Linked DNA regions of Coturnix japonica. The protein of the gene in region 1 interacts with the protein of each later gene in a pairwise test. Links are inferred from orthologs where the notes say so. Each region holds a gene or a part of one and is shown in the gene's direction. Other genes may lie near its edges. The genes, in order: NRIP1, CIB1, ESR2, RORB and CEP70.

What was found.
Region 2: the proteins of NRIP1 (region 1) and CIB1 interact in a two-hybrid assay, tested with the Homo sapiens proteins (2 studies listed by BioGRID and IntAct). The link is inferred for Coturnix japonica from reciprocal best matches to the Homo sapiens genes NRIP1 and CIB1.
Region 3: the proteins of NRIP1 (region 1) and ESR2 interact in a two-hybrid assay, tested with the Homo sapiens proteins (2 studies listed by BioGRID, with this or other methods). The link is inferred for Coturnix japonica from reciprocal best matches to the Homo sapiens genes NRIP1 and ESR2.
Region 4: the proteins of NRIP1 (region 1) and RORB interact in a two-hybrid assay, tested with the Homo sapiens proteins (2 studies listed by BioGRID). The link is inferred for Coturnix japonica from reciprocal best matches to the Homo sapiens genes NRIP1 and RORB.
Region 5: the proteins of NRIP1 (region 1) and CEP70 interact in binary tests that used the Homo sapiens proteins (3 or more experiments, as listed by UniProt). The link is inferred for Coturnix japonica from reciprocal best matches to the Homo sapiens genes NRIP1 and CEP70.

Annotation. Positions count from the first base shown.
Region 1 is NC_029516.1:88,407,192-88,412,998, reverse strand, and holds part of NRIP1 (nuclear receptor-interacting protein 1), read left to right. Parts: intron 1-1,331; 5' UTR 1,332-1,688; coding exon 1,689-5,156; 3' UTR 5,157-5,807. UniProt on the Homo sapiens protein: Modulates transcriptional activation by steroid receptors such as NR3C1, NR3C2 and ESR1. Also modulates transcriptional repression by nuclear hormone receptors.
Region 2 is NC_029525.1:18,187,574-18,193,902, reverse strand, and holds CIB1 (calcium and integrin-binding protein 1), read left to right. Parts: upstream 1-2,647; 5' UTR 2,648-2,727; coding exon 2,728-2,778; intron 2,779-2,987; coding exon 2,988-3,022; intron 3,023-3,360; coding exon 3,361-3,463; intron 3,464-3,819; coding exon 3,820-3,973; intron 3,974-4,194; coding exon 4,195-4,313; intron 4,314-4,390; coding exon 4,391-4,479; intron 4,480-4,719; coding exon of another isoform or gene 4,720-4,741; exon of another isoform or gene 4,742-5,075; coding exon 5,076-5,148; 3' UTR 5,149-5,386; downstream 5,387-6,329. Other genes in the region: tubulin polyglutamylase TTLL6, read right to left, coding at 574-614, 1,058-1,206; GDPGP1 (GDP-D-glucose phosphorylase 1), read right to left, coding at 1,318-2,409. UniProt on the Homo sapiens protein: Calcium-binding protein that plays a role in the regulation of numerous cellular processes, such as cell differentiation, cell division, cell proliferation, cell migration, thrombosis, angiogenesis, cardiac hypertrophy and apoptosis.
Region 3 is NC_029520.1:48,234,577-48,240,383, forward strand, and holds part of ESR2 (estrogen receptor beta), read left to right. Parts: intron 1-1,379; coding exon 1,380-1,518; intron 1,519-3,698; coding exon 3,699-3,832; intron 3,833-5,401; coding exon 5,402-5,576; intron 5,577-5,807.
Region 4 is NC_029547.1:32,940,041-32,945,847, forward strand, and holds part of RORB (nuclear receptor ROR-beta), read left to right. Parts: intron 1-3,339; coding exon 3,340-3,481; intron 3,482-5,807. UniProt on the Homo sapiens protein: Nuclear receptor that binds DNA as a monomer to ROR response elements (RORE) containing a single core motif half-site 5'-AGGTCA-3' preceded by a short A-T-rich sequence.
Region 5 is NC_029522.1:18,778,632-18,784,313, reverse strand, and holds the end of CEP70 (centrosomal protein of 70 kDa), read left to right. Parts: intron 1-76; coding exon 77-176; intron 177-809; coding exon 810-980; intron 981-1,155; coding exon 1,156-1,302; intron 1,303-1,755; coding exon 1,756-1,924; intron 1,925-2,710; coding exon 2,711-2,825; intron 2,826-3,715; coding exon 3,716-3,828; intron 3,829-4,220; coding exon 4,221-4,282; 3' UTR 4,283-4,427; downstream 4,428-5,682. Other genes in the region: ESYT3 (extended synaptotagmin-3), read right to left, coding at 5,670-5,682.

The DNA of each region.
Region 1 (5,807 bases):
TTACTTGCTTGTTTGAATAGTTTGTGGAACTTTCCTAAATGACTTGAAGTCTAGTAAGAACATCTTCATACAGGAGTGTATATAAGATGTTAGCATTGGGGCTGTGTAACTGTGGTTCTAATTCTAAACTTATTTCAGATCTGATATTTTTCTAACTTCTAGTTGCCTGTAGCTTTTGAATTAAAAAAAAAAAAAAAGCCTCTGAGAAATCAATCATAAAGCATTCGTTCACTTTCAAGATGCATGGCTTTCACCTTTATATGTCCTTTTGAAAACTTGTGTTTACGGATTTAAGTATGCTTTTAGTCTGTGAAAGAAAATTGCAGAGCTAGGTATGTTGAAGGGCACTTAGCTGTGTTCATATTGAGTATTTGTGCCTATGTAGTACTGAAAGAGAAAAGAAGTAGGTGTGTGTGGTATAATGATCTCAGTACTGAACTGTTAACTCTGTGAACTGTTCATGCTGTCGTTGACTAGTGTAAAACTAAGAGATACATCTAGTGTAAGAGCCACTGCGTTTTTTAAAACTACACGTTACAGCATACTGCCTCATCCAAGTAAGTATTGAGTAGAGGTGATCTACAAGAATGACTTCAAAAACAAAAAGACTTCAAAGAAGGGCCTGCTTTTTCACCACTTTACATCGAATACGTGGAAAGAATGTACAAGTAAATATCTTTCAATGAAGTTCTAGCAGGAATGTGTTAATAATTGCCTTTTCCTCCCTTCCTATTGCCTGACTCTTCAAATTACTTATGGTAGTTGGGAGTTGGAAGAACAGAAATGTGCTCGTATGTGTTGCTGCTTATTCAGGTGTTTGACAAATTCAACATGAACCTGAACGTTGACTTTTAGATGCATTTTTTTCCCTCATTAATTTTCTTTCAGAGTGATGCTGTTCATGCCTTGTGTGTTCACATGCTAACGTAAAAATATTGTTGGAACTGTGAGGTAGAATCCAGAGTAAATTTTTCTGAGCAATATTTAGATTTTTCTTTCATGGTTACTAGTTTTTAGTTGGAGTTTTATAGCAGAGAGATTCAGTGATCACTTCTAGTAGCTACTCTTAGGATAGTTCACTTTAGCTTAGATTTTACATAATGCTTTCTGTCTCAGAGTGATTTTCACAACGTTCTTCAGATTAGGTGCTGTAGACTCATTGCATTATTCAATCATTAATTTCTTCTAGAGTGTGATTAATGCTTGTACATCTTGGATCTCTCTAGAACTGTATGTGGAAAAAACATCTCTTATGCAGTTTATTTAGATTTTACCCAAATTCTTTTTCTTGACCACTGTTTTTTGGTTTTCTTTTTTTTTCCCCCACTTAGGTATTCTGTGTTCTTGATGGAGATGGAAAAAGATGAAAACCAAACTAACTTCCTGGAGAAAGCTGAAGAAAGCAAATATGTAATAGAACTTTACTGCCTTAGAAGTGTGTTTTGAGTGCTCTTCCTCGACATCCGTCGTAAATATTCTGTATCTCAACACAGGGACATGATTGGTTTTCAGTCAAGATACACTGGAAGAAACCTGCCTGGAATGTGACTGTGTTGCTTCTGAAAGTTTGTGAGAACACGCTATAGACATCTATCTATTATTTATTAACTCTGCATCTCGATTCAGCTGCAGCAAACTGGTCTTTGAAGTGAATAGAAACAGAGCCCTTTTGGATACTTTTATTGAACATGACTCATGGAGAAGAGCTTGGCTCTGAGATGCACCAGGATTCTGTTGTTCTAACTTACCTAGAAGGATTACTAATGCATCAAGCGGCAGGAGGCTCAGGTACTACAGTTGACAAAAAGTCTGCTGGGCATAGTGGAGAGGATCAAAACTTTAATATTTCTGGAAATATATTTCCCAGCTGTCAAAGTAATGGTCCAGTTCTTAACACAAGTACATATCAGGGATCTGGCATGTTGCACCTCAAAAAAGCAAGGCTGTTGCAGTCTTCTGAAGATTGGAATGCAGCGAAGAGAAGGCGGTTGTCTGATTCCATTGTGGATTTAGACGGAAAAAAGGAAGCTTTGTTAGCTGGCATGGTTGAAAATGTGCCTAAAGGCAAACAGGATAGCACATTACTTGCCTCTTTGCTTCAGTCATTCAGCTCTAGGCTTCAGAGTGTTGCTCTGTCACAGCAGATTAGACAGAGCCTTAAGGAGCAAGGCTATTCCCTTAGCCATGATTCTTTACAGGTGGAGAAAGATTTACGGTGCTATGGTGTTGCATCCAGTCACCTGAAGACTCTATTGAAGAAGAGCAAAGCAAAGGATCAGAAGTTGGACAACAGCTTGCCTGATATAACAAAGAACCTGCCCAAAGAGAGGTTTATAGAATCTCCTCATGCAGTGCAGAGCGGACCTAAAGTAGTAAATGAACCACTGTCATGTGCTGCAAGATTACAAGCTGTGGCAAGCATGGTAGAGAAACGATCTAGTCCTGCTGCTTCACCAAAGCCCAGTGTAGCATGCAGCCAACTAGCTTTACTACTTTCAAGTGAAGCTCACTTGCAGCAGTACTCCAGGGAACATGCTTTAAAAGCACAAAATGCAAATCAAATAGCAAGTGAGAGACTTGCAGCTATGGCCAGATTACAAGAAAGTGCTCAAAAAGATATTGGCCAGTTCAGTTTAGCAAAAGGAATGACAAGCCATCTCAATGGTCAAGCAGGATCATCAACCAAAATGGTATCTAGCAAAAGCAATATGGCACCGTTTCAGAGTTCGGTGGGAATCACACATTCACCACCCAAAAATGTTGGATTCAAAAGTACCTTGGAAAGGAATAATGTGAAAACCTCTCCCAGCAACAGTTTGCTCTTACATCTCCTGAAAAGCCAGAATACCACCAAACAATTAAAAGGCCATGAACAGAGTGAGAGAGCCAGCATTTTTGAAGAGAGTAGCACACCAACAACTATTGATGAGTATTCAGACAACAATCCTAGTTTTACAGATGACAGCAGCGATGACGAAAGTTCCCATTCTAACTGTCTTCCTATAGACTTATCTTTTAAACAGAGGACAGACAAACCAGACACAGGTCCACCGGCGTCACTGGATAACCTGACTCAGTCCTTGCTTCATAGCTGGGATCCAAAAGTTTCCTGTCCGGAGAGCAAGGAGGACAAAGACACTCCAAAAGCATCTAAGCTGAACCCCCATCAAAAAGTAACACTACTTCAGCTGTTACTTGGGCATAAGAGTGAAGAAAAGGTAGACAAAAGTAATGAGCCTCAGGGACCACACAGTGCTGCTGATGTGGCAAAATTCACTGTACAAACTGGTAAAAGGACTCCTGTTACTGACAGTCCCAATGCAAATCGAATGACTCCACTAAACACTCCACCTTTGCTTGCTTCTGCAAAAGCAGACTCTCCTATAAATCTCTCTCACCCATCATTAGCCATCAAGCGTAGCTCACCACCATATGCCTGCAGCATCCAGCCAGACAGGCTGGTGAATCCTGCATCTAAACATTTGATAGACCTTTCAAAAAGCAAAGAAATTCAAGGAGCTAAGCTGAGCCGAAACGACAGTCCACAAAACTCGTCAGCTTTCAGTGCCAGCAAGCTGTTGCAGAATCTTGCTCAGTGTGGTATGCAGACTTCCATGTCAAGTGAAGAACAAAGATCCGGCAAACATCTGCTGGTGGGGAACACAGATAAACCCGTAGGCTTGATTGATAGATTGAACAGCCCTCTGCTTACAAATAAATTAAGTACTCACGAAGAAAATAACAAAATATTAAGTTGTCATTCTGTACCCACTGAACAAGGACTTCCAGGTTCGGAAATAGAAAATCTCCTTGAAAGGCGAACTGTCCTTCAGCTGCTTCTGGGAACTCCCAATAAAGGTAAAAATGAAAAGAAAGAGAGGGTGCTTTTAAGAGATGAAAGTTCTCAGGAACACACAGATAAGGCTTTGAATGAGCAAATATTGACAGTGAAAATAAAAACTGAACCGTCTGAAGAATCAAATGTCCCTTATAATTCAAATGCACAACAAATAAGAGAGTGCAAGGGTAACAAATTTCAAGGATTTGTTCATTCGCTACAGAGAAACACAGCTGCTTCTCCAGCATCTGAGGAGATGAAGTCTGAGCCTCTTTCACCTCAAGATTTTTCTTTTTCCAAAAATGGCCTGCTAAGTAGATTGCTGAGACAGAATCAGGATAGTTACCCTGCAGATGAGGTGGACAGAAGTCATCAAAACAATGAGCTGGCACACCTGGAATCAAAGAGTCTTTGCACAGTACCGAAGAAAAGGAAGCTTCATGCTGAGCCTTTGGAAAGTCCGTTAAAAAAGATGAAAACTAATGTGTCTCATGCTGCAAACAATCACGTTTCTCCTACAGAGGCACTGTATGGGCCTTTGCTAAACCAGCAAGAACTGAAATTTGGCAGAAGTGATTCAGAATTTAAATATGCTGTAAGTCATGGTTCAAATAATGAAAGTGATAATAGGAGTTGGTCTAGAGATAGTAAAGGCTTTAACGTGTTGAAACAGCTGCTTCTCTCAGAAAACTGTGAGAGAGACCTGTCGCAACATAGGAATAACTTACTAACTGAGAGCAAGAAAAAAGGAAACAAAAGCAACTCAACAATTAATAAACCCGAATTCAGCATTTCTTCAGTAAATGCGTTAATGGGAAGTCCTGTGCAACAGAGCAATTGCGTAGATCACAGAACATTTCAGTATCCAGTAAAAAGTCCTGCCAGTTCCCCCTTCCCTGAACATTTGGGGAGACTTGAACCTGACCAGTTTAGTGTGTGCCCCATGCCCAGTGAGAAAGGTCCCATTAGATGGGTGATCACAGGTATGGACAAGAACGATTATGAAAAAGACTCTCCGAGACTGACCAAAACCAATCCAATCCTGTACTACATGTTACAGAAAGGCGGCAACTCTGTTAGTAGCCAAGAAGCACATGACAAAGAAATATGGAATGAACCATCGTTTACTGATAGTTCGACTCGTGTTACAATCAAAGAGGAGTTAACATCTGACGGAGAGCTTAAAACTCCTTTTAGTAACTTAAGAAGCCCTTACAACAGCCATGTGGGAAATAAGACCTCACATCAACATGGTGTGAACGGAGAAGTGCACGGACTTCTGGAAAAAGTGCTAACAATCAAAAAAGAGCCAGAATAAACTACAGCCTCACCAAGGAGTTTACAATCTGTGCTTTTGAGTGTTTGTTTAAAAAAAAAAAAAAAGAAAAAAGAAAAAAAGAAAAAGAAAAAAACAAGCATTAAAAAAAAAAAGAGTACGAACTTGACTACTGTATAAATTGAGCATGATTTTAGAAAAGCATGGTCTAACTGAAACATGTTTTCATTTGATAAACTTTTTATTTTTATGGTGATGTTATTTAAAATACATGTAGATAAAATTTGCTTTACTGTAGACTGTCACAAGGAAATTAGAAAGGTTGTAATTTGTACAAGACATTTCTGTATGCATCAAATTAAGTTATGAGTACTCTTTGATCAGAGTCTTATTTGGAATTGCAAGTCTTTGGTATAACATAAAGTGTAAGCGTACAGCCTAGGTGGTGGTAATGCTGCGTTTCCTCCCTCTCCTGTAAAGTAACCCTTATTTTTTTTTGGAAGCCTGAGCACAGAGACGGTGTACTTTTCTTGGAATGTTTAATATGCTTTGTGAAATTTTATGAATAACTTTAAAGAAATGGAGCAGTCCGTCCAAGGCATTAATTCATCACGCTGGAAAAACCCATGTCAGTGTTAATAATTGACCTGCACTGAAATGTAATTTTTAGTGCTTCCAAAATTTTTATTGTTA
Region 2 (6,329 bases), on another chromosome or scaffold:
GGGAACAGCATTCCTCACACAGCTGACAAGACTGTGACCTTTAGCGATGCAAACATGGCAGTAATGCTAGGATAGTCATTAGCAAATTGACTAATGACATCCATCAAATTGTTCTTTTGAGAAAGGGCTTGTGGCAGCAATGAAGAGCGAGACAGGAGCGTGGAGCAGCCACCTAGAGCATGTCATTGGAGGTGAATATCAAAGAGATACTGCAGGCACTGATCCAGCCTGCTGCACCACCTGCTTCAGCTTGAACTGATGGTAGCTTTCCATTTCCCTAAGCACAGGTCGTGCATTGTAACCATCTCTGGCAAAACTCTTCTCACCAATTTTAGCAGGAATGTGGGTCATACAGATGTACAGGGTGATGAGGGCTCGCAGTGCTGCACAGTTTGGGTCTCTTTAAAGCATGAAGCTCCTCAGCCCAAAGTGTAGAATGTTCACAGGGATTCAAGTCACTTACAAACACGTAACACACAAGTGACTCTGCAGCAGAAATGCAGCGCTCCTTGCTGGCTGAGCAGCCGCCTGCACGGCTCGATCCAAAGGGACGCGACGCATCCTGCGACTTACCGCTCTCGTACCTGCAGCTGGTCAGGTTAATGGATGGGGCGCTGGAATTGAAAGACACAAGAGCTGCTCAGTGAGACCAGACGGCGACAAAGGGGAGCGGACACGAACAGCTGCCTCGTGCCACACTCGTGTTACCCAAACCCCGCAGTGTCACTGCCCAGTGTGACCCACTGCCATGGGCCACGTGCCAAGTGGGTCCCGAGCCCGTGTCCGTGCTCTGGGGGCTGCCCCACCCTCGGGGTTATTTCCACCCTCGGTGTTATTTATTTCCATCCCCCTCGTGCTCTGAGCCCCGTCGGATCCCGGTTCCGTTGGTTACAGTCCCGGCCACCCCCGGGCACGAGGCCCCGGACCCACAACAGACACATGACGGCGCTGCGCACACGGCCGGGCTTTATGTGCGGCACGGCCCGCACCGGGCACACGCGGGCGGATACACGGACGGACACGGACGGACACGGGCCGCCCCCCCCGCCGCACTCGCCTGCACTTCTTGCGTTTCTTCCGCGCTCTGGGGCTGCAGGCGGCAGCTCTGGGCTCCATCCCGGGGGCAGCGGATCCGCTCCGAGCTGCCGCCCCCCGCCCGCCGCCCCCGGCCTCCATGGCGCCGCTCGAGCCCGCCGCCGTTCCCATGGCGACGAGGCAGCGGTCTCCGCTCGACCATAGAGAGCTCGGCCCGGCCGGCTAGAGCGGCGCCGGGCCGGTCACGTGTCCGCGTTCGCCATTGGTCGGCTAGAGCGGCGCTCAGTCCTCCAGCAGCCGCGCCAGGTCGGCGGCGAGGCGGCGCATTTCCGGTTCCGGCAGCAGGGGCTGTCGGATGGCGCGCAGCGCTTCGGCCTCGCTCAGTCGCTCGAAGGCCGCGGCCGAGCGCAGCGGGAGGAACCCGGCCAGCTCACACAGCGCCACGGCCAGCACCGCGTCATCCGCCTCGGGCTCGAAGTTCGGCCTGCGGGGCCACAGCAGCAGCCGCAGCCCCGAACCGGGACCGGGCCCGGCCGAGCCGTCCGGCGGGGCGCCCCGCGTCACGAACACGTTGTAGGCCAGGCCCAGCGCCAGCAGCCGCTCCGACACCCGACACGCGTCACGGGCCAGAGCGTCCAGCGCGTCCAGCCCCGCGCCCGGGGTGTAGAACAGCAGCGCCGGGGCCGGGACCCGCCACAGCACATGGAGACGGTCACGGAGCGGCTCGGCCGGAGCCGACTCCACCAGCAGCGGGTGCGGCAGGTCCAGGCCGTGCAGGTGCAGGTGGTTGACGGACGCCGAGGCGCCCAGGCTGTTGAAGCCCACGCGGAAGCCGGGCCGGGCGCTGAGCAGCACGAGCTGCAGCCCCGCCAGCAGCAGCTCCGGGGTGAGGCGCTGCGGCAGGAACAGCCCCGGCTCCGGCAGCAGCAGCACGTGGCCGCGCAGCAGCGGGCTGACGTTAATCGCCACCAGCAGCTCGGCCGGGGCCGCTCGGTCTCCGTGTGTCGATGTTCCCCGGCGCAGCCGCAGCAGCAGCTCCCCGGGCTGGATCTGCGTGAAGTTGAAGTGCCGGGCGCTGAACGGCTCCGTCACGCTGCGAACCTCCTGCGGCCGGCGGCGCAACGTGGCGCGCTGCACGTTGAGCTGGGCCAGCAGGCGCATGGGGCCGGGCAGCACGCGGGTGGGCGGCTCCCGCAGCCGGTACCGGAACAGGCCCCGCTCCTCGCGCTCCTGCCAGGCCTCCAGCAGCGCCCGGTCGAAGCGGGACAGCGCCGTGCTCGGCCACGCCACGCCGTCCAGGATGAACTCATCCTCGTGGTACACGAACTCCTCGGCTCCGAGCCCGTCCCGGTGCCCGCTGTCCCGCACTGCCATGCCCGGTGCCGCCTGGGACCTGACAAAACGGAACGCGTGCACGACTTGACCGCCGCCCCCAGCGCCGCCCTCCGCCCCCAGCGTCCGTCCCGCCGCGCTCGCTGTGCCCCGGCCCCGGGTCCCGACGATCCCCCACCCCATTACACCCCATTACACCCCATTACACCCCATTACACCCCGTCACACCACCCACCTCCGCTCCCAGCGGTGCCGCGCGGGGCCGGGGGCGGCGCTGCGTGCAGCGTGTTCCCACCCCGGGGCGGGACGTTGCCACGGGAGCGGCGGAGTGACGTGCGGGGCGGAAGCGGCGCCGGCGACATGGGGGGCTCCAGCAGTTTGCTGCCACGGGAGGCGCTGGGGGAGTACCAGGTGTGGGGGGGTACGAGGTATTGGGGCTGGAGTCCCAGGTTGGGGGGAGCCCCGTTGTCGGAGGTCCGAGGGGGGTGACCGAGGGATGGGGAATCTGCGGTCCCGTGTCTGGGGCAGCTCCCGGATCGGTGGGACCCGGGGAACGGGAGGAGTCCGGGGCGGAGCAGCTCCCCTCGGGGTCCCCCCGTCTGACCGCGCTCTCCCCGCAGGAGCTGACGTTCCTGAACAAGCAGGAGATCCTGCTGTAAGTGCCGGGGCTTGGCGGGGGGGGCTCAGCGCTGGCAGCTGCTCCCCGTTGGGGGGTGGGCGGGCAGCGCCGGGACGGGCCGTTTCCGTGACCCCGGGGTGCGAAGTGCGCGGGTGCGGCTCCCGGTCCGAGAGAGACAGAGACAGAGACAGAGACAGAGACAGAGACAGAGACAGAGGCTCCGGACCTGCCGGTGCTGCCGGGGGCCGCCCGCTCCCGCACAGAGCAGCCCTTGTTTTCACCTCAGACAGAGACAGAGACAGAGGCTCCGGACCTGCCGGTGCTGCCGGGGGCCGCCCGCTCCCGCACAGAGCAGCCCTTGTTTTCACCTCAAGTGCCTACAAGAGGTTCAGTGAGCTGCTGCCCAGGGAGCAGAGGGACAACGCCCGCTCCGTGCGCGTTCCCAAGAGCCGGATCCTGACGCTGCCGGAGCTGCGGGTACGGTACCTGGAGGGGGGCTGGGCAGGATCACCTGCTGAGCACAAACCGTGCTGGGAGCGCTCCGTGCTCACCGTGCAGCACCGGGGATTGCTTCCTCGGCCCTGTGCAATGCAGCCACACAGCCCCGTGTGGTGGCACAGCCCCGTGTGATGGCACAGCCCCGTGTGATGGCACAGCCCCGTGGGTGGCACAGCCCCGTGTGATGGCACAGCCCCGTGTGGTGGCACAGCCCCGTGTGATGGCACAGCCCCGTGTGATGGCAGGGCTGTGCTGGGCCGAGATCAGAGCTCAGCTCTGCTCAGCTCCTCGTGGGTCAGTGCCCGCCCTGCACTGAGCCCTCCCCATCTCTGCAGGCAAACCCCTTCCAGCACCGGATCTGCCACGTGTTCTCCACGTCCCTGGACAGGGATGACAGCATGTCCTTCGAAGACTTCCTCGACATGCTGAGCGTCTTCAGTGATGCTGCCACCTCAGATATCAAATCCCACTACGCCTTCCGCATCTTTGGTAACCCTGGGTGTGATGTGGTGTCCTGGGATCCCACCCAATGGCGGGGGACAGGCGACAAGGGCTGGCAGTGCCTTCATTGTGCCCACGGGGCAGCTTTGGGGGCACCCTCTGTACTTGGAGCTGCCGTGCCCACGTGTTGTCCCAGCCCCCTCCCAGCGTGGGTGCCTGTGACCTGAGTCACGGGGGCCCCACAGAAAGGTACTTTCTTCTGCCCAAAGACTTTGACGATGATGGGGTCCTGGACAGAAAGGACCTGGAGAAGCTGGTGAACTGCCTGACAGGGCAAGGCGAGGAGTCACGGCTGAGTAACACTGAGATGGAGCAGCTCATCCGTAATGTGAGGACCCGAGCTGGGCAGGGAGCGCTGCATGGTCCCAGCCCTGGTGAGCTCACTGCTCACTGCCTGTCCTGCAGGTCCTGGAGGAGTCTGACATAGACAAGGATGGGACCATCAACCTCTCTGAGTTCCAGCACGTCATCTCCCGCTCCCCAGACTTTGTCAGGTACGTGGCTTCCAGCAGCTCAAGGGGCCCCAGGGGTCAGCCCACCCTGCTGCTGTGCTGGCTTTGAGGCAGCACTTACCAGAGCAGCAAGGCAAGGCCACCCCTTAGAAGTTCCCACAGGAACTTCCTCCTGCACTGTACTCACCTATGCAGGAGCACAGCACATCCACAGAGTGCTGGTTGCTCACAAACCACTTCTCATGCAGCAAGGAGGTGCAGAACATGTCGTGTCTCTTACAGCTCCTTCAAGATTGTCCTGTGAGGGCCCTGTGGCTCTCCTGCAGATCTGCTTCTCCAGCTGCCGCGTCTCTTTGTTATCTCAGATGTTCCCTCTTCTTCTGAGGAGAGCAGCCAAGGCCCTGCTCCTCCCCAGCCTGGCAGTGCCGCACTGTGCTCTAGGGCAGGACTCTGCTCCCCCAGTGCCTGGTGGGCTCAGTTACAGGTGTCCAAACGGCCCCGTGAGGCTCCACCGCAGGCAGCAGCTTGGCTGTCCCAGCAGCACATTTTCACCCCACACAAGCACAGCTCTGCGGTGTGTCAGGGCAGGCACAGAGATGCCGCACTGCATCGAGCACAGCCCCTCTCACCACCCACAGTACCATATGTGCCTTCTGCTGCTCTTCCACGGGGCTTTCCTGCACCCTGGGGAGCAGTTCCTCCAAGCAATAACCCAATTGAACTTTGGATGTGCCATCCCAGCAGTGCTGTCCCTTTGCTGCCCTGGGGCGTGGGGGCTGTGCTCCTTGCTCCAGCACCAATACACTCAGGGTCTGTTCTCACTTTCCAGTTCTTTCCTCTCTGCCTTAGGCTCATGCTCAGCCAGTGCTTTGCCTGGAGCAGGCAGGGCCTGGCCCCCTTCCTTTGTGCGCTGGAGAGGACAAATAAAGGGCTCTGGTTTCACCCCCAACCTGGTCCTGCTGCCAGTGGCCTTTGTCTCGCGCGGGGGGGAGGAGCGGGGTGTGAGCGCTGCAGCATCAACTGCCAAGAGGGTGCTGGGGATGTGGCCCCCCGCCAGCCCCCTGCCCTGAGCCAGCTGCAGCTCTTGGGAACGGGGTCCCAGTTCAGCAGGGAGGCAGCTCCTAGTCCTGCTGGGGAAGCAGCTTGCTGCATGATCCCCCCCTCCTTGGGAGAACCAGAGGCCGTTCCCAGCGTGCTTAGCAGGCACTGCACAAAGAGCTCTGCTCTCTAACAGGAGGCACAAAAGGAAATCCAGGGCAAGCAAGCTGTACCTTTGCTGTGGGCAGCGCAAGGGCCCTTTGTGTCTGTTCATCCAGCGGGCCTGGTGCTGGCTGGCTGCCATCTGGGAACGCTCTGTGCAGGGAGCCCGCAGCATTCCCTAACAGCACCATGCTGAGATGGCTGCAGTGCCCGGTGCTGCTGGATCCCCAGCCCCAGCTTGCAGCTGTTTCTCACGTCCCGGCTGCTTGCTCCCAGCAGTGCAGGCCCTTCCAGCTCGCTGCCCTGCAGTGATGATGCTTATCTGCCTGCTGCAGCCTGCGGGGCCATGTCTGCTGGCACGGCACCAGCCGACGCCTCCGGTGGCTTTTTTGATGTCCCAGAACAGGCTGGGCAGGAAGTGGGGAACACTGTCCTGGCAGGAGCGAGGCAGTGCGGGTCCCACGGCATCCTGCCCCAGCACGCTGCCTTGGTGCAGAGCTTGCTGCTTCCCAGGCACGAGGCAGATAAGCAGCACTGTGCTCTAGAGCTGCTTCTCTACATCATTCAAGCGGGGCCTCAGAGCAGCAGAGCACTGCAAACCCTACGCTGGGGTCGCAGGGATGCTGTTCTGGATCTGCATGCTGGCACAGCCACACACACAGCCCCATGCACCATCACACCCACCCCGCACA
Region 3 (5,807 bases), on another chromosome or scaffold:
CAAACTTCCATGGGTATTTTACTAAAAGCACTTTTTAAATGATGAGGGTTTGGGTCTGGCAGATAATCTGCCGTTGGCTATGAGTTCTGTAGTAAATTCTTTGACAGTGTAATCCGTGAGGGAAAGCACAGCTTGTAGGCTCCTGTTTGCTCCTCTCAGAGTAAAGGAGTAAGGCTCTTGGTGTGAAAGGCAACGTTTTCAGCCATGCAAAGCCAGAGTACGCATTATCCAGCTTATGATAACCTAGGGATGTCTCCGACTGCCTTCCTGGACAGTACTTTATTAAGTTGAAAATGTATGGAATACATTAATATAAATCATTGGGAGCAGATTTCATGGCAGTGCAAATGTACAGCACACATCCCAAGTCAGAAGAGACCCTTAAGAACTATGGAGTTTAACTCCTTCTCCAAGGCTTTTCTTCTTGCATGTTATTGCAGAAGAAGGGGCAAGCAACAACTTTTTCCCTCTTCTGGCTGTGTTGCTACATTATCTGGCACTTGCTGGAAGTTCCAGAGAGAACTAAATGCTAGAAAAGGGCTTATGTCATATTGCATCAATTCTGTTCTTGCTTCTGGGGTGCTGCATGTGGAGGTGATGCAGACATTACTACCATCACAAACTACCCTTGTCTTTTCCTTGCTTTGATCAACAAGTGGCATTTAGAAATAAGGTGACAGCACAAGGTGACCATGATGTGGCTTATTTCATAGGTACTGAACAAACCCAAAAACATAGCTGCCTCCAGAGATCAAAACAAAACACCAAGTGACAACCCTGCAAACAGCAGCCTTATATGTTGTGGGAAAATAATGGTCTGTTTTCATAGGAGTCCTCCACAATACAATGTGATAAATCTTTAATAGATGTGAGTTTCCAGAGTGGGTCCTTGGTACCTTCAAGAAGTCTCCGGGACTGTCATCTAAAGAGGTGCCCACATGTAAGGCGGGTCTGCATTCACCTATGTGCTGATTGCACTTCAGCACTGTTCTGATTTATTTATTTTCCCTGAACACTTTCAAGGCAAGGCTGGGGAAGGCCCTGGGCAACCTGATTGAGCTGTGGTGTCACTGTTTGTTGCAGGGCAGTAGGACTAGATGGCCCTTAGAAGTCTCTTCCAACTCTAAGTTGGGTTCCATGGTTCTATCCTTTCAAATGTTTTGTGGAACGTGTGTCAATGATAACCACAGCTATTTATGTTCCCAACTGAGATGGCAGCAATGCATACTTTGGACTTCAGTGTCTCTTTTTCCATCTTTCTTCACAACCCACATTTCTTTTTTTCTTCTTTTTTTTTTTTTTTTGTATATTCAAGACATTTTTATAAAAACAGAGATGTAAACAAGTTGATTTATTTGACGCTGTTTTTATCATTTCAGGCTTCATTGATCTCAGTCTCTATGACCAAGTCAGGCTGTTGGAAAGCTGCTGGCTGGAAGTTTTAATGATTGGTTTAATGTGGAGATCGATCGACCATCCTGGGAAATTAATTTTCGCACCGGACCTTGTACTGGACAGGTAAGAGAAATCAGCTTCTTGAGAGCCCTTCAGTGAGTGTGTTTGGAGGGAGATGAATGGAGAAAGGAGGGGATGAAATATTGGAGATGATGTGAACGTTTAATTTAACAATACAATTCACTTGTATTTTAACAGTTCTATCTTGAGAATTCACACGCTGAGCATAAATAGTGCTTTTGAACTTGAGAGTTCCTGAATTCCACTACCACATAACAGTGTTGAGTTTCTCTGTATTTTTCACTGTTTTTGTAGGTTTTGATGCTTTTGGCCCAGGGCTCCAGATGCTAAAACTGTAGACATCAACACAATCTGCTCTGTTATCAAACAGCTTCCATTGGCCAATAGATTTTCTCCCTAACCCTTAAAAAAATAAAGAAGAAAAAGGAGTAGAGAAAGTTTCAGACTCTGTTTTAATTACTTAGAGTAGTTTATCTCAGATTTTTTCCTGTAGTTTCATATTTACATTAATGATCTTCGTAGCACTAGCCAAAAGGGATTTTAAAAAGTAATTTGGTGTTAAATACCAAAAGTTTTCTTCAAGCTTAAGTAGAGTGTTTGAAAGTTTAAAACTTATTTATCCATAGCTATGTACCAATAGGGAAGAATATGGATTAGTAAAGATGTTTTTCCACAGCAAGCTAGAACAATTTGATTTGGGTTTCTTGTTGGTAAAAAGTCAGAGAGAGAATCTGCTGTCTTGGCAAGGAGCAAAGTCTCTCCTAACCTTTTCAACCTGGGGAAATTCATATCTGCACCAATCTGGGCTTGAGCTAAATAATCACTGCCTTCATAGATTCAGAAAGTAAAATGGGTTAGTAAGAGAAATAAATTTGAATTACATAGGATTTGAAGTAAATTGTGGTTTTCTTATATAAAATTCAGTGTGAGGGCACGCTAGGTTATTCAATGCAATGATAAGAAATTGCTGAAGATGTATGATATGTTCAGTTCCTCAGGAGCTAATATGAGCTGAATGGAGATGGCTTGATAAATTCCTTCAACTCCATAAGACTTAACAGAGTGGGAGCTAGCAAGCATCTGTGCACCCTATATTACTTCTATGATACGCTCATGTGAACTCTAGCTCCATTACCCCCCACAGTCTTTGTAGACGTACTTCTCTGACGCTTGTGCCTTTGTCTTGATTCTGCCAGCTGCTGGTCCTCCTCCAAAACTTGAATTTCTTTGCCAAGAGAAGCCATGCAGTAATGAGGCAGCTGCCTTTCTGCAGGCCATACCTTCAGCTCCTGGGTGGTGTTGCCTGCCTCAGCCTGAGCACTCATCACCTTCCTCTGGTAGCAAGGAGTGCTCATGCACCACTGTCCTTAGGTGTGTCCCTAATAACACAGCAGGCAAAACTCTTGGCTTACAGGTGGTGTAAGAAGCATCTCTTTGAATACGGCGTCACAGAGCTTTACAGCTTTGTAATTCCAGTACCTTTAACAAAAAATCTGAAGCACTAACTTAAGTGGTTTAAAATTACCTCAGTTTTCATTTTAAGCCTATTGGAATGGCTTAAGGTGTAAGTATTTTTTCAGTTCATCCTCAGAACTAGAAACGTTCCTGTTTCTAATATCCAAAATGGAGGAGGTTACAATCACCATTCACTTGCAACCATAAACAAACAAAACCAGCCAGACAAAATCCAAAGCTATTCAAAAGTGAACACCTCCAACAGGTGGTTTGGATGGTTGTAGGAATTATCTTATTGTTCTGAGAAACTTAGTTTAGTCAGGTTTTCTTAATTATTAATACCTTAGTCCTCTGTCAGGTACAAACAGGGATGTCATAGGTTGTGGCATGAATTCCTTGTGAAAGCACTATGGAAAATGATTCAAGGAGGTGCCATGCTCTGCCCTGTAGAATGTAGTTTAAAGCTGATTATCAGAAATTATGCTGGTTGTGAGGTTAAAGCCTCTTTACAGAAATATGTCCATACTTACCTGTGGTCAATCCTGTAAGCACTTTAAACGCTTTACAGAGAAAATTAGTTTCTTAGAGGTGCTGACCTCTTATGCCATTGTAATTTTCCATTTAGATTTCCTGATAGAAGCTTTTGAATGCTCCCACAGACCAGACAGATAGGCTTCTTGCAGCATTCTTTTTGCTTTGGCTTTTATCTGGCTGAGTCAGAGTTCCTTAATTCTACTTTTTTGGTAACATTTTAAATGTTTCCATAGGGACGAGGGGAAATGCGTAGAGGGAATTTTGGAAATCTTTGATATGCTCCTGGCCATGACCTCGAGGTTCCGAGAGCTGAAACTGCAGCACAAGGAGTATCTGTGTGTCAAGGCAATGATCCTCCTCAATTCCAGTGAGTACACAATTGCCTCTGACACTCACCAAATTATACTTATTTCGACTGCGGCTGGGTAATCAGTGTCTAAAAATGACAGAAATATCAAATGAGATAAGGCAGAATTCAAAGGGAACGCTAAAAAGGGACTTCATGAAATCATAAGAGGGTTTTGCTCAAGAAACTTCTAAGCTATATTGTTTGGATTTAGGGTCTCTATCCTGCTCTAAAGAACTGCATGAATAAACCCAAATCTGAAAACCTGCTCACAAATTGGGGTTTGTGACCCAGGTGGTGGGTATGTCCTTTTCAAATCTAAACCCCAATGATCAGTCAGGAGTGCAGCTCAGAGTTCCATGGATCCTGGTCATGGATGATGCTGCTTCATGCCTATACAAGCCTGTTCTTTGCTCTAGTAACATTATTTAGTCAACTGAGTGGCAGTCAATTGTGCTGAAATATTTCTATTTAGTGATAAATAATTAGTAGAAGTGCTAGAAATAACTTAACAGTTCTGCAAGATGAATGTGAGGACGGCAAGCTTGCTTTGCAGCTTTCTACAGCCTATGGTAAAATCCTTCTATTCCCCAGGACGTTTTGTAAGGGCATAAGAAAAACAAGAAAAAACAACCGAAAACCATCTGTATGTAGAATAATGATACTGTTTACATCTATTGTTTTCAGATGAAGCTTCTGTGTAACTCTCAGCAAGGTTTCTGAAGGGGAATAGTCCAGCTGTTTTCTGACTTTGTTTGTAGAACAGAAGCCATTATTTCAACTGACAGCAAAACTCTTCCATTTATTTTTATTTAGCCAAAGGGGGAAAGAAATGCTCATTAGCCGTGGCTTTTCTTAAAAGCTTCACCTCTCAAAAAAACCCTTCTCCTCTCAAGGCTCTCCTTCCTTAGCAAGGTTTATCTGTTACTTCTGTTTTTCGGGGTGTTCTGGAGCTTTCTCCATCCATAAGCATCTTTGGGATTCTCTATCAAGAATACTAGCGAGAGTTTCCAGGCTTTCCTAGTGGCAGTTTCTTCTTTCTCCTCCCCACTCCCCTTTCTTCTGCTTTTGCTGACTTCTGAGGGGTCTCATGGTAGGCAGGTGCTGTCCTGTGGCACCATGGTGAGCTGTTGGGAGCCTACAGCGGTCAGTAAGAATAGCTGCTCTCCTCCTTCCCTTGGATTTACTTGGAGAAGAAAGGGGTTTCTTTTCAGCATGAACGAAACTAAAATGTATGGTGTAATGTGATTCAAAGGAAAAAGCCCTGGAGAATGGAGAACATGTCTGCTTCCCCACAGACAGAGAGCTCAGAGCTCAGTCTGACTGTGGAGTCTATGTTCAATGTGTTGTCTTGGGAGGATTTGGGAGAGTCAATCACTATGCAATCGATGCAGAAATCCAATTTGGATGAAGAAATACAAGCTGAAGCTTGGTGTGTTACATGCAGTGCTGTTTGCATTGTGTTGGGCTGTGTGAATGTGTGTCAGGAAATACAACTTTTCTTATCCTGTGAATTATTACATTGGAAGATGACCCATGGTCGTAGTTTTTTGTGCCTCACAAGCAGGATTTCTTTGTCTTCTCTGCTAGGCATGTTTCCCTTGTCAGCAGAAGAACCCGAAAGCAACAGGAAGCTGCACCACCTGCTCAATGTGGTCACAGATGCTCTGGTGTGGGTTATTGCAAAGAGTGGGATCCCTTCCCAGCAGCAAACAACTCGCCTGGCCAACCTGTTGATGCTGCTCTCCCATGTCAGACATGCAAGGTAAATCTTACAGGATGTGAGAGATATACCAGTTGTTTGTGTTTGCTTCTTAGAGTGACAGAGTCAGTCTAGAACTCCACAGTGCCCCTGAGGGATGCTCTTCATCTCTGTTTTGTAAGACTATCCTTCCTAGTATGGCTAAATAGGCAATGATCCCACACTCTGGCATAGTGATATGGTAGTGATACAACTGCAGAGATCTCAGTCAGCAAAGTGTCATCATAGCTGGCT
Region 4 (5,807 bases), on another chromosome or scaffold:
TTTCAGAAACTTTAAGGGTGTTAAATGAAAAGCTTACCCTGTGACACTGTCTTTTTGTGAGACTGGACTGGAAATAAGCATTTTCTTACAACAATTACATGAAACAGGACTGTACTAATTGATCTAATACTTTAATATTTGAATAAAAGTTACAGGAGAAAAACATTTGGAGCAGAAAAGGAACATCTTGACTCTATATCCAGCTTCCACAGTGCACTGAGGGGTACAGTCTCCTGTAGATGTGATCAGGCTTAATTCTGACCCTTGTGTGTGCCTCAAGGAGAGACAATACCCTTAGCTCTATGTGGGGACCACTTATTGAGATAAAGAGCTTTTCTTCCAATTAGAGCAGTTTAAAATCTATGAGTTTTGTGCCAGTTTTGCAGTATCGCATCAATTAGTCTAATGCTGTTTTGCAAGCTTCTTGTGAAAAAAAGATGTCCAGCCTTCACATCAGGCCCAGTGGAGGCCATCTCCCTCTGCGTGAGCTCTCTCTTCATTTAAGCACTGTCTCAGGTAGTGCAACACTGCTCCTCTTTGCCCAGCAGTTAAATAAATCTTTGTTCATCCCATATACTAATAACTTGTCATTTCTAGCTCCTTTTGTCTGAATGCATTAGAAATCTGAACTAATTAAGAGGAAGAGTATTACAAAGTAGGCCAGAAGGGCTTTCACAAGACCGCGCACATTAAGCCAAGCACCAGAGGGCCTCAGCGTTTTGGGGAATGGCATTGGAGGATTGCACTCCCGCTGGCAATGCTACAGACTTTCTCTGTCCTTTCACTCTCTGTCTATGCATTAGTTCTGCCACTGCAAATGCATATCGTAAGAGCTTAAGGGGCATTGTAAATGCTACAGCAGTTACATACTGCACACCTGCATAGGCTGAGCAGTGTGCTGGGCCCACTAAAGAAAATGGTGGCTCTGCCAGCAGTCACCAAGGAAAGAACAAAACTGAAAGACATGTTTCCATCCCAGTGTCTCTGTGACCCCTTTTGGTGAGAGGTCTCTTGTAATCCACAGCGCAGCAAGGATCTAGAGGACAGTTTAAGAGGCCATTCCCTTCTCAGACTGCCAGTGATGGATAAAGTGAACTGTTTAAGATGCAGAAAGACTTCTAGTCGGTTCTGAGAACACTGGAAGACTTGTCTTTCTGTATGTCCTTTAACTCCTCAGTAATGACTTGTGTCCCGCTTCTCCAGAACAGCATTATTCCCAGTAAATATAACTAATGTTATGTAAAAATCTTCCAACATGAAATGAAAGGTTTCTCAGTAAGAAAGCACTTAGATCTTTGCTGAAAGAACAGAGCACAAAAGTCTCCTTGGAGAAATAAATTACCTGCTGTAGATTAACTTCATTATGTAATCCTTGATTTTTCCCTAAGAGGAGCAGTGACTGAAAAAAACAAATTCTTGTAAGAGATCGAAGTTAGTGGGGAAAAAAATACAAACAAATTCTTGTGAGAGGAGATCAGCCTTAATAGATAAAAACAGTACTATGTGATAAGGCATAGTTGATGCTAGGTGGTTGTGTGGGTTATTTTAACATAATTTAACTCATTTGTTCTCTCGAATCCATATCACATAAGAGCTGCTAAAATCTAAAGCAGAAAATGTTCCTCACGTCAAAAACAAAATTGGCTGTAAGGTTCAACAAACAGATAAGAAATATCTGCAATTGTCATCCATCTAGCAGTAACATTAAGCTCATCTCCACTGCTAAAAAAATGTTTGGTCAACTAGGATCAGGTAAGTCCACAATGAACTTTTCCTGAGAGCTTCCCTAAAGGATATCCATGCTCTTAACCATGCAAATCATAAACCTTAATTTAATAGTCACTGCACAGTGTAATCACTGATAAAGCCAGCATGGGCCAGATGAATTAAGCTTCTTTGGGATCATCGATTTCAGGAACTATCACTGCTGTCTCTTCAGTGGAACATCATGCTTATTGCACTCTTACTGACATCTCGTGCCACCCTAATTTGATTTTCAGGGACTGAAGAGGGATTACAGGTGCTACCTGTAGCATGGAAATCAAGCCCTGTGACAACATCACCCTGTTGTTTTCCCACTCCTTCCCCCAGAAACCCACAGGAGTTGTAAATCCCATCCCTTATTAGTATCTTCTGTCAGCCTGAACGAAGATAACAATGGTTTTGCCTGATGAGTGCAGTCAGCGCTTCTTTTCTGACTCCACTGAGAGCTGTTTACAAACCAACACGGAAAGTCACAAGCACTTTGGTGTCACTTCTGCCAGTGACTAGTTTAAGTACAGTAATGATGCTTTCCCTTCATAGTTTCTTGCAGCGGTTGTGCTATCCTTCATCTCTCCCACCAAACAGCCATGCAATTACTTTCTTCTAAAGCTGCTAAGTTTGCCAATTAAATTATTTTCTTTGTTTTTTCTCCCTCACTCTCAACTCACTGATCCTCTCATGCTTTATTTTACAGGAAAGAAAAGAGAATTATAAAATGCTTTCTCCCTGGTTTCATCTTTCTTTTAATTTCTGCCACTTCATTTCATTTCTACAGAAATAGTACCTCTTAGTGCTGTTTGTAGTGTTTAGGAGCTCATAAATCATTACATGTTCTCACCCTCAAAAATTTAGCAAATAGGCCAGCAACAGGCCAGACAAACCCTCCAGGATATAGAGTGTTGAACTATTTTTGATAGATTAAATGGTTAATGTTATATTCCATTGATATGGAAAATATCTGTACTTTCTCATGGTAGTGTCTAAAGGTGTTGCTTTCTCCTTTGTGTGTCAGATGTACCTGATACAGCCATTAAATCCTAGTGCTTTTGTAATGTTTGAATTTGAATTACTTTTCACTCCCAAAGTGTATGGGCTCTCCAGATCAGATCAACATTTGCCAGATTAAATTTAACAGCAGACTTCAGCTTCTAATCCTATGTATAGCCAGTGCCGGATGTTAGAAGTTTCTTTCAATAGATGGAAAATAGTCAGAAAAAGTACTTTAATGTTATCTGTTTACCAATGCTGACAAGCTTTTCATCTGTGAGGTGCAAGAATTAGATGATCCATGGTAGTTATTACATAATAGGAATATATTCTGTAACTCTTTATTGTTTGTCCTTTAGCAAAGTAGTGTTAGATTCTTTACTGAACAATTACAAATCCTCCTTATGAGCAGTAAATGCTCTTTAATTTCACTGTACAAGGCTAGTGCATCTGCAAAGTCCTAGCAAAAAATAACATTATGCTACATGAGAGCTTGCATGGCTGTGTATGTGTGCATGTGTGTGTGTGCATGTGTGTGTGCACATACCCACATGGTAATACTCCTTCTCTCTTCCTTGTCGCCCCTAGGGATTCTTTCGGAGGAGTCAGCAGAACAATGCCTCCTACTCCTGCCCAAGGCAGAGAAACTGTTTAATTGACAGAACCAACAGAAATCGTTGCCAACACTGCCGACTGCAGAAATGTCTTGCCCTGGGAATGTCTAGAGATGGTAAGGAGTCAGATTCCTGCTTTATGCCTAAACATTTGAAATTCTTCTTCTCTGCTGACTTACTTAAACTCCCTGTAGATTTCTAGAAAAAGAGAGAGGAGAAGCTCCTTGCTTTGTAACGTACACACTGTGAGACACAGATCTTAACAGTGGAAGCTATTTTCATGAAGAGGGTGGGAAGATAGCAAAATGGAAAACAATGTTAGGTTAGAAGGGAAATAGTTGGATAGGAACTGCATTGTTCTGCTCAAAATCACGAAAGTTATCTATGGAGAGAAGGATTTGTATTCCAGTTTAGACAACTTTTTATATTAACAACATTGGTTATACTGGTTATACACACCACAATACTGGTGTGAGGAAGCATCCCTTTCCTTGTGATCTCTAAAGATCTGTGACTGTGAATAGGCAGTTTAAAAAAAAGAGTACACCTTGATAATATTAAGGTTTTTCAGCTGTTTATTTTATTCAGAACACTTGACCAAGCATTTTGCCTTGTGAAAAAAAGCATTTAATTGGTGCACTGCCTCCTGTCCATGCCTGGATCTACAAGAGAAACATTTCATTGCTAATGCAATGGCTGTCCAGCTCACTGTCACATTTGAAATGGTCAGTGAGTACGAGAAGAGAATGTTCTGTCCTTGAAGGCAGCTTACATTTGCTTCAGTAAGGCTATATTAGCTTTGATTACGTGACAGCATTTGTTCATAAAACTTGTTCTTTGGAATTAACAGGCACTGATGAAGTTACTTTAAGACCTATTTCATAAGATAGTTCAGACTTTATAATTTTGCTTTATATCTATAATAGTTCTTTTCCTACCTCACTATGTTTCATGTCTCACTGAAACAACTTGCTCATCTGTCTCAGCAGACTGAGAGGACCCTGCTGTCTCACCTTTAATTCATGGAGTCCTTTTGGGTCTAGCATGCAGTATACTTTCACACCATAGCTATTGCTTCTTCCTGGAGAGCACTGTAGGAAAATTTCAGTAATTTAACAGCATGTACTTTCCCAATAAAAGTAATACCGTCCAAGTATTTGAGATATCACAGAAGTATTTAACACATGACATTGTCTTCCCAACCTATAATGCAGGGACTGCTGTGTACAAAGAGGGATTCTTTTGTTGGCATCTCTTTCTTCTCTCATTGTGGATGTGAGAGTGTTTATACTTAATCATATGGAGAGTTCTTGCAAGTTTAAAATAGCCTGCATGGATCTTTTTTGACAGAAAAACTGGATGTGAATTTTACCTTTCAGCCATGTAACAGATTCATTTTTATCATGCAGAGGCAGGATGCTAATTGACAGCAGCTGGAGAATCCAATTAATGAATACATAATGAGAGTAAACTGTGGGTATTTGTTTTTACGGAGACCCTACATTTGAAGAAAACACGCAGTTGTACTTCTCAAAATCTAGTCATTATATATTGTCCATAACAGTGTGCAATGCACAGTGGGCTGGTTGCAGAGCAGCCAGTGTCTATGTGAAGTAAACTCAGTCTGTGCGGAGGTCTGCAAGTAAGCTGGTACTGGTAACAAGAAAAATAAATTGAAAAGGCTACCATCTCCTGAATTTTATGCCATTTCCTTCTAATAGAGTTCTCTTTCTCTGTGTTTCATTGTTACTGTTAGGGTATTTTTTGCTATTAAAAAAAATAAATATATATATGTATTTTATGAGCATCTGTAGGCTCAGAATCTTCTGGAGGTCTATAACTGAAATGGAGCCAAAATGGAAACCAAGCCACTAATAAGAGTGATGATCTCCATTACAGGTGGACGGGAAGTAGCATTTGAAAATAGTCCTCATAATATGTAAAATAAGTATTTCCAAAGAAATGTCCTCCTATCTGTTCTCTGATAAATTCTGCTGAATGTATCCTAATTGACGGATCTCATTTGTCTTAAAGCATGATTAATAGCTTCCTGTTCTCTGACATCTCAATATCTAGGCCAGTAAAAAGCCAGAATTTAAAGAGAGAGAGAGAAAATAAAGAGCAGATAATTATCAATGACCACTGTGTATATAGGCTATGTTTACTCCTTGTAGTTCCTTAGCAATCAGACCGTCATTTTCGAAAATTTCAATCTCAGTGTAGTGAGCCCTATTCCTGGGGACAGTAGTTTGCATTCTGATGTTTTCCTGCCCTTCTCATTAGAAGGAATGCATGAATTTTGTGCATGGAGATTATGTAAATTGAGTGTGTAAATCCCTGAGACTTTTCTCTGTGAAAAAGACAACAGTCATTTGTTCTGTTTACCTTCCAATCTGCTATTTTCCTCTAGGTTCTAAATCTAACCTGCAAGATTTTTATTTT
Region 5 (5,682 bases), on another chromosome or scaffold:
GTAGTTTCAGGCTGAAAGCCATCCTACCGTACATATTTGGCCTACTGGTGACCTACTGTATGTATTTGGCATGTAGGTCTTCAGGGAGCAGTACCAGAGAAGGAACAGAAGAAAAGAAAGAACCTGAGAGTACTGCAGAAGATCGGCTGCATGCAGTCTGCCAGCAGTACTTACAGGTATGCCAACTTCATTGGTACCATGCCTATCTAGCACTTTCATAACAAAATACGAGCCTTATTTAATTGCATAAACTGAAGCATGCTCTTTTGAACTCTGGAGGAAAGCCCTGAACACAACGTGTAATGTTCTGGCTATGGCAGTTGATATAGGCTACCTTAATGTAAACTACATGAAGTTACTACAAACCAGAGACTAGCTTGGCAAACCTCCAATCAATGATTTAGCCTGAGTTCTCATCAGGATAGAGAACAAAGATCAATGTCCTGTGGAAGGCATTCCTTTCTGTTATGGTTTTAAGAATTACTGAGAAGATGATAGCTTTTCATTTTTCCTTAAGAAAGAACAAATATAGTAAAGCTTAACAAAATATAAACTGTGTAAGTAACAACATTGTGAGAAGATAAACAAAATATTCCCTCCATGGGAAGTCTACGTGCATTACTTTTACTTTTCTTCTACTTAGTTTCTTTTTATATCTTTGAATCTATGACATGCTGAGTGCCTCTATAAAAGTCATAGATGGTAACTTACCAGAAATAGTTATGATTTAAATGATTGTGACTGGTGGTGAGGGAATTTATAATAAAAAGCTTAGTTTGAGTAATAACTTTTTCTATCTATTATTGAAGGTGCTGTCCAATATCGACTCTATTATACGAAGTCCAAGAGCTCCTCCATTAATATACAGGCGCAGCAAAGGGCCAGTGCAAAATTATATTAAAGAGAATGGACAGGAATGTGGATTTGAGCACCTCCCACTCACTATAGAAATGTGGGCAGACCAGCTGGTGGCCCTAAAGGTAACGCACTCTCACACTTAGCTTTGTATCCCTCTTTTAATCTGTTGAAAACCTCACGGTGCTTCTTTATCCAGTGTTCTTGTGCTTTAGTTTGTATTGTTGTCTGACCTGGTGTTAAATGGACAAGATATTTAAGCAGTTACTACAATGAGCTGTCCCCCCTCTGTTTTAAAAGGATTTGCACAGGTCACTGAGAAAACTGTCTCTGGAATTGGTACCCTGGCACACTGCGGATCCACAAGATAACACAGAATCCATACGGGTTCAAGACCTTCAGTTCATAGTAGATGCAGTTTTAGAAGAAATAGAAAACAAGGAAAAGGTAATTCTTCACACGATTAGACTTCTGCATTTCAAAGCCTTTTGGGGCTTAAGAAATAGCTGTGGGAAGAGGTCCAATTCTCCAAGATTACTTTCACATAATGGATAAATTCACCCCGGGGAAGACTGCTTTAATCAAGGTCATTTGACCAACCATGAATTTGCCTTACCCTGTAGTGCTGGGTATTATCCTGTTCCATCTTTTTCTCAGTCAGCATTCAGAATACCTAAACAGACTTAATAAACATCAGAAAACAAAGCTTCCAAAAGAATATTGTTTTCATAAGAGTATTTTTGGCTTGCTGGATATCTCTCTTGAGATTTAAGAATATTCAAAATGCCTCAATTTAATAAGGGAAGTTACACCTGTTTTAATTTGTGGACTAGTTTTAAGAACATCTCGTGGTTAAAAGAAGCAACAACTTAGTAAAGTTACCCTTTCTGCTTCCTGCAGAACAGCCAGACACCATCCTTACCAACACTGTATGCAATAGTCTCTCACTTCCAGAAGCTGTTTGATGTGAATTCTCTGAATGGCATTTACCCACGAATGAATGAGGTGTACACAAAACTTGGGGAACTGACCAATGCTATGAGAAATCTCCATGAGCTCCTGGAACTAGGTAAAGACTCATCACCTACCACTTGTTCAGGCTATTTCCAAAGGAAAAGCTTTGTTTTATGAGCACTTACTTACTAATTCTCCTTTATCAATTGAAACATAAGGTTTTTTGTTTGTTTTAAATTGTTTTGGAATAACAAACTTTGCTCTAGATTTCTTCTCAGTAACTCATTCCAGGGTAAGCATGTTCAGTCCTTAAGAACACCCCTTTACAATCCTAAATGTTTACTTGTTCTTTTAAGTATTGAATGTCAAGAACTAAGTGCCACCAGTAGTCACTTCCAGGTGCCTATTCATTCTCTTCTGGTTTTGCACTTCTGAAGAACAGCAGCTGCTAATCTTCCCTGAGTTCATGGGTTTAGAGGCTTGGCTGTGCTGCAGGGTGTACAGCCAGAGGGCAAGGCTCCTAAACTACTGAAGCCTTCTGAAGTCTCATTCAAAGAGGGAAGCAGACTTCCTGCCTGCCACCACCAACAGGAAATGAAGAAGCTTCTCATCCCCTTGTAATTACAAAGCAATGGAGTTCAGTGGACACCTTCTCACAATTAGTTCATCTGAAACTGAGTGAGGAAAGGAAAAGAACCTGGTATTTTTACCTTTCATCATAGTAGCCAAAGCAGGTTAAAACAAGCAAACAGAGCAAGTTCTTGCTACTAACAAAATATCAGGAAACAGTTCCCTCTATGATACATGAAAGTTCAATAGAATCTGGGCACCTGCAAGAACTGAATTATGTCTTCTTTTCCTGTTATTACTCTTACCAGAAACATGAAGTTGTGTTTTCCAGATAGTTCAGCTCCACCCACCATGGTGGTGGATACAGTTGGGAAACTGTGTGACATAATTAACGAGAATGTGACTGAACAACTACGGCGGCTCCTGGGGACACAAGACATCCACAGGTATTTAGTTCTGTTCCACTGGCAACAGTTCTGCAAACAGAAATCTTATGAACTGACAGAGTTGCCTAAAATTGATACTGGAGGAGACTTCTGTCCTTTGCTACAGTGCTGTGACAGTAAAGGATTTACTACTATCCTACATGGAACAAGTCTTGAACACTTTCTAAAGGGTATTTCTGGTAAATAGAAAAAAATAAGGTTCCCTTAGCACTACCTTGTTGATTTGCATGGATACAGTGATCAAAAAAGCCTCTTAAGCTTATGTTTCATAAGGAGACATAGCAAGTGCTGTATGTTGGTGGGGATGCGAAACTACTTCAAGGTTGCGACTGTAATATTGAAATGTATTAGCTGCTGAGAGAACGTACACCTCAAGCTTCCTGAAAATCTTTCGAGAGCTGGACAAATCATCAACAAATGAGAACACAGAGGTGGTAGCAAGTTGTAAGAGCTTGCATTCAGAATGTGCTGTACAAGTGTACAAAGAGATTAACTGCAGCAGTAAATTTGTAACAGGCAAAGTGAACAACGGTGACACCATCAACCTTTCAGTGCTCCATGCAGTTTTAACTATAGACAAGCTGCTTATAATGTTCTTGCCTCCACCTCTAGCTCTTATACTACCTGGGTTGCTGATATATTTAGCATATACAGGCTGCTGCTCCAGACCAAAAATTACACAGCACTGTATAAGGAGGAAAATATATTGGGCAGAAACAGTGAAATCAAAAATAATCTGACTTTTAACAATTGTTGGCTTCAGGTTTCAGTACATGAGGATGCGTTTTTGGTGCAGGTGTATTTGTATATACTAAGTAACAGTAGTTTCAGAAAGCAGTGACACTGTATGGCAAAAAAGCCAAGAAAACGAACTTAATATGTTCTTATAGTTTTGCAGTAACGGTCTTACTTTCAAATCTCAGTATCATCAATAAGCTAGAAGAACATGAATGCTTCTTTCCACCGTTTCAAGCCCTCATTCAAGATTTGCTCTCTCTTCTAGGTGAGTAACATTTCCATGCTGTAATTATCTCCATGGCAGAGCTCCCTCCCAGGCTGTTAAATAGCTAACACACTTTGTTTACTCCTGGTGTGCAAAAAAACACAAGGAAATTGTGAGAAAAGGTGCTAAGCCTTACCTTGCTCTGCTAAGAAAGCTACTGAAATAATGAAGTTTTCATTGAAAAATGGGGTCATTTACATTCAACCATAAAACTTATAAGCTAAAATAACGTTTTTCTTCCCCCAAAAGCATGAAGAGGTTTGAGGAGTTTATTCTCTGCAGTAGTTTTTTTGCTCACTGGCCGTATTTCTAACACTTAAGCTAGAATTATGATTGAACTTTAAAGTGTTTTATATACAACTCATACAATTCTGCTTTTCATTCTGTTTCAGAGATCAATAACCTGGATGATATTTTACCTACTGTACGAAAGCTGAAATTGGTAGCTAGTTAAGGGATAGTTTGATCTATCCTGGGAAGACTTAACCTGTGAGGCAGCCTTGTTGGTTCACATGTCATTACAGCTACCTCTAACCTCTGTTACTAATGAACAGTTTCAGACTTTTTAATATAAATAAAAGTTTGGCTTTGCCACTTCATTCTTTTAGTTTCTCTGCATTCTTACACTGACCACGAAACAAGAAAAATAACCACAATAACCTGTTCTGTCCTGGAGAGAGGACCAATACATACCGTACTGATATAGGAAACTGAAGCCAACACAAAAGCAAAGACCACAAAGGCACTTACCTTTCTGAATGTAGCTCATCAGCAGGTATGAGATGACGTTGCTCAGAGTGCCCTATAGATGTAATACTTTCATCATTACCTTGGTCGTCTTGAGAGCCTATTTTAAAATGCTGTTTAGATCTTCAGCTAGGTTTATTTTTTTTTTGGTTATGGATTGAAACACACCACATTAATGTAATCTAGGCTGAACACATTTTAAGCCTACATCAGAACATGGTTTACAGCTTTTTGCCTAGAAGGGATTTGAAGTTACCACGCTTATATTCTACCATCACTTTTAGAAGGGCATAGATAAAGTTCCTTAAGCAAGACATGTCAGAGTTTATTGTAAACAAACAAGTACACCAAGCTTCCAAAAATATTTTGGTATATTTCGCTCCAATATTAATAAAGCTTAGTCCAAAACTCTGCTGTTCCTCAGGCAGAATGATTTACTATCAAGGCTTATGAGATGCTGAAATGTTGTAACAAAGAACAGAACATGTTAAGGCATTACAAACTAAAACCTTAATGACATCCTGGCAAACGAATCTCCCTGCTTTTGGAAGCTCATCATATGCAGACCTGCAGCCACAATCTGCTTAAATGCTTTTCAGAAGCAGAATATCAATGTCTTTGTTTCTCAAGAACTGCTATTAGTCTTACAGTTGATTTGAATGAGTCCTGTAGCCTTACAGATGAAAGTCGCTGTTTAAAAATGGATTCTTTTAGAAGAGTAATGCTTTCAGATATCTTTAAAACAACACAAATAGGCTCTTAGGGAAACGAAACTGAGAAGAAAGTGATCACACATAGCTGGCCATCTAAAAATATCTCCAGGTCCAACACTTCCTTAAGAGCGCATTCATATGTAAGGATTCTTGGGGAGGAGATGCACCATCAGGAATAAATGATTTGTTATCTAGAGAGAAATTATTTCCCCAGTTTTACTTCACTGAGAACTCCTGTCAGTAGGATCATTCCGTGCACACGTCCTGAGCAGCAGATGGCTTCAAGTTTGCAGTGAATGTTTCAAAACACTTCCATTAGAAAAGAGGTATATACAGTCAATACAAAGTTTAAAGTTAGTAACTTATGTACACGAGAAGAAATCAATTTTTCTTG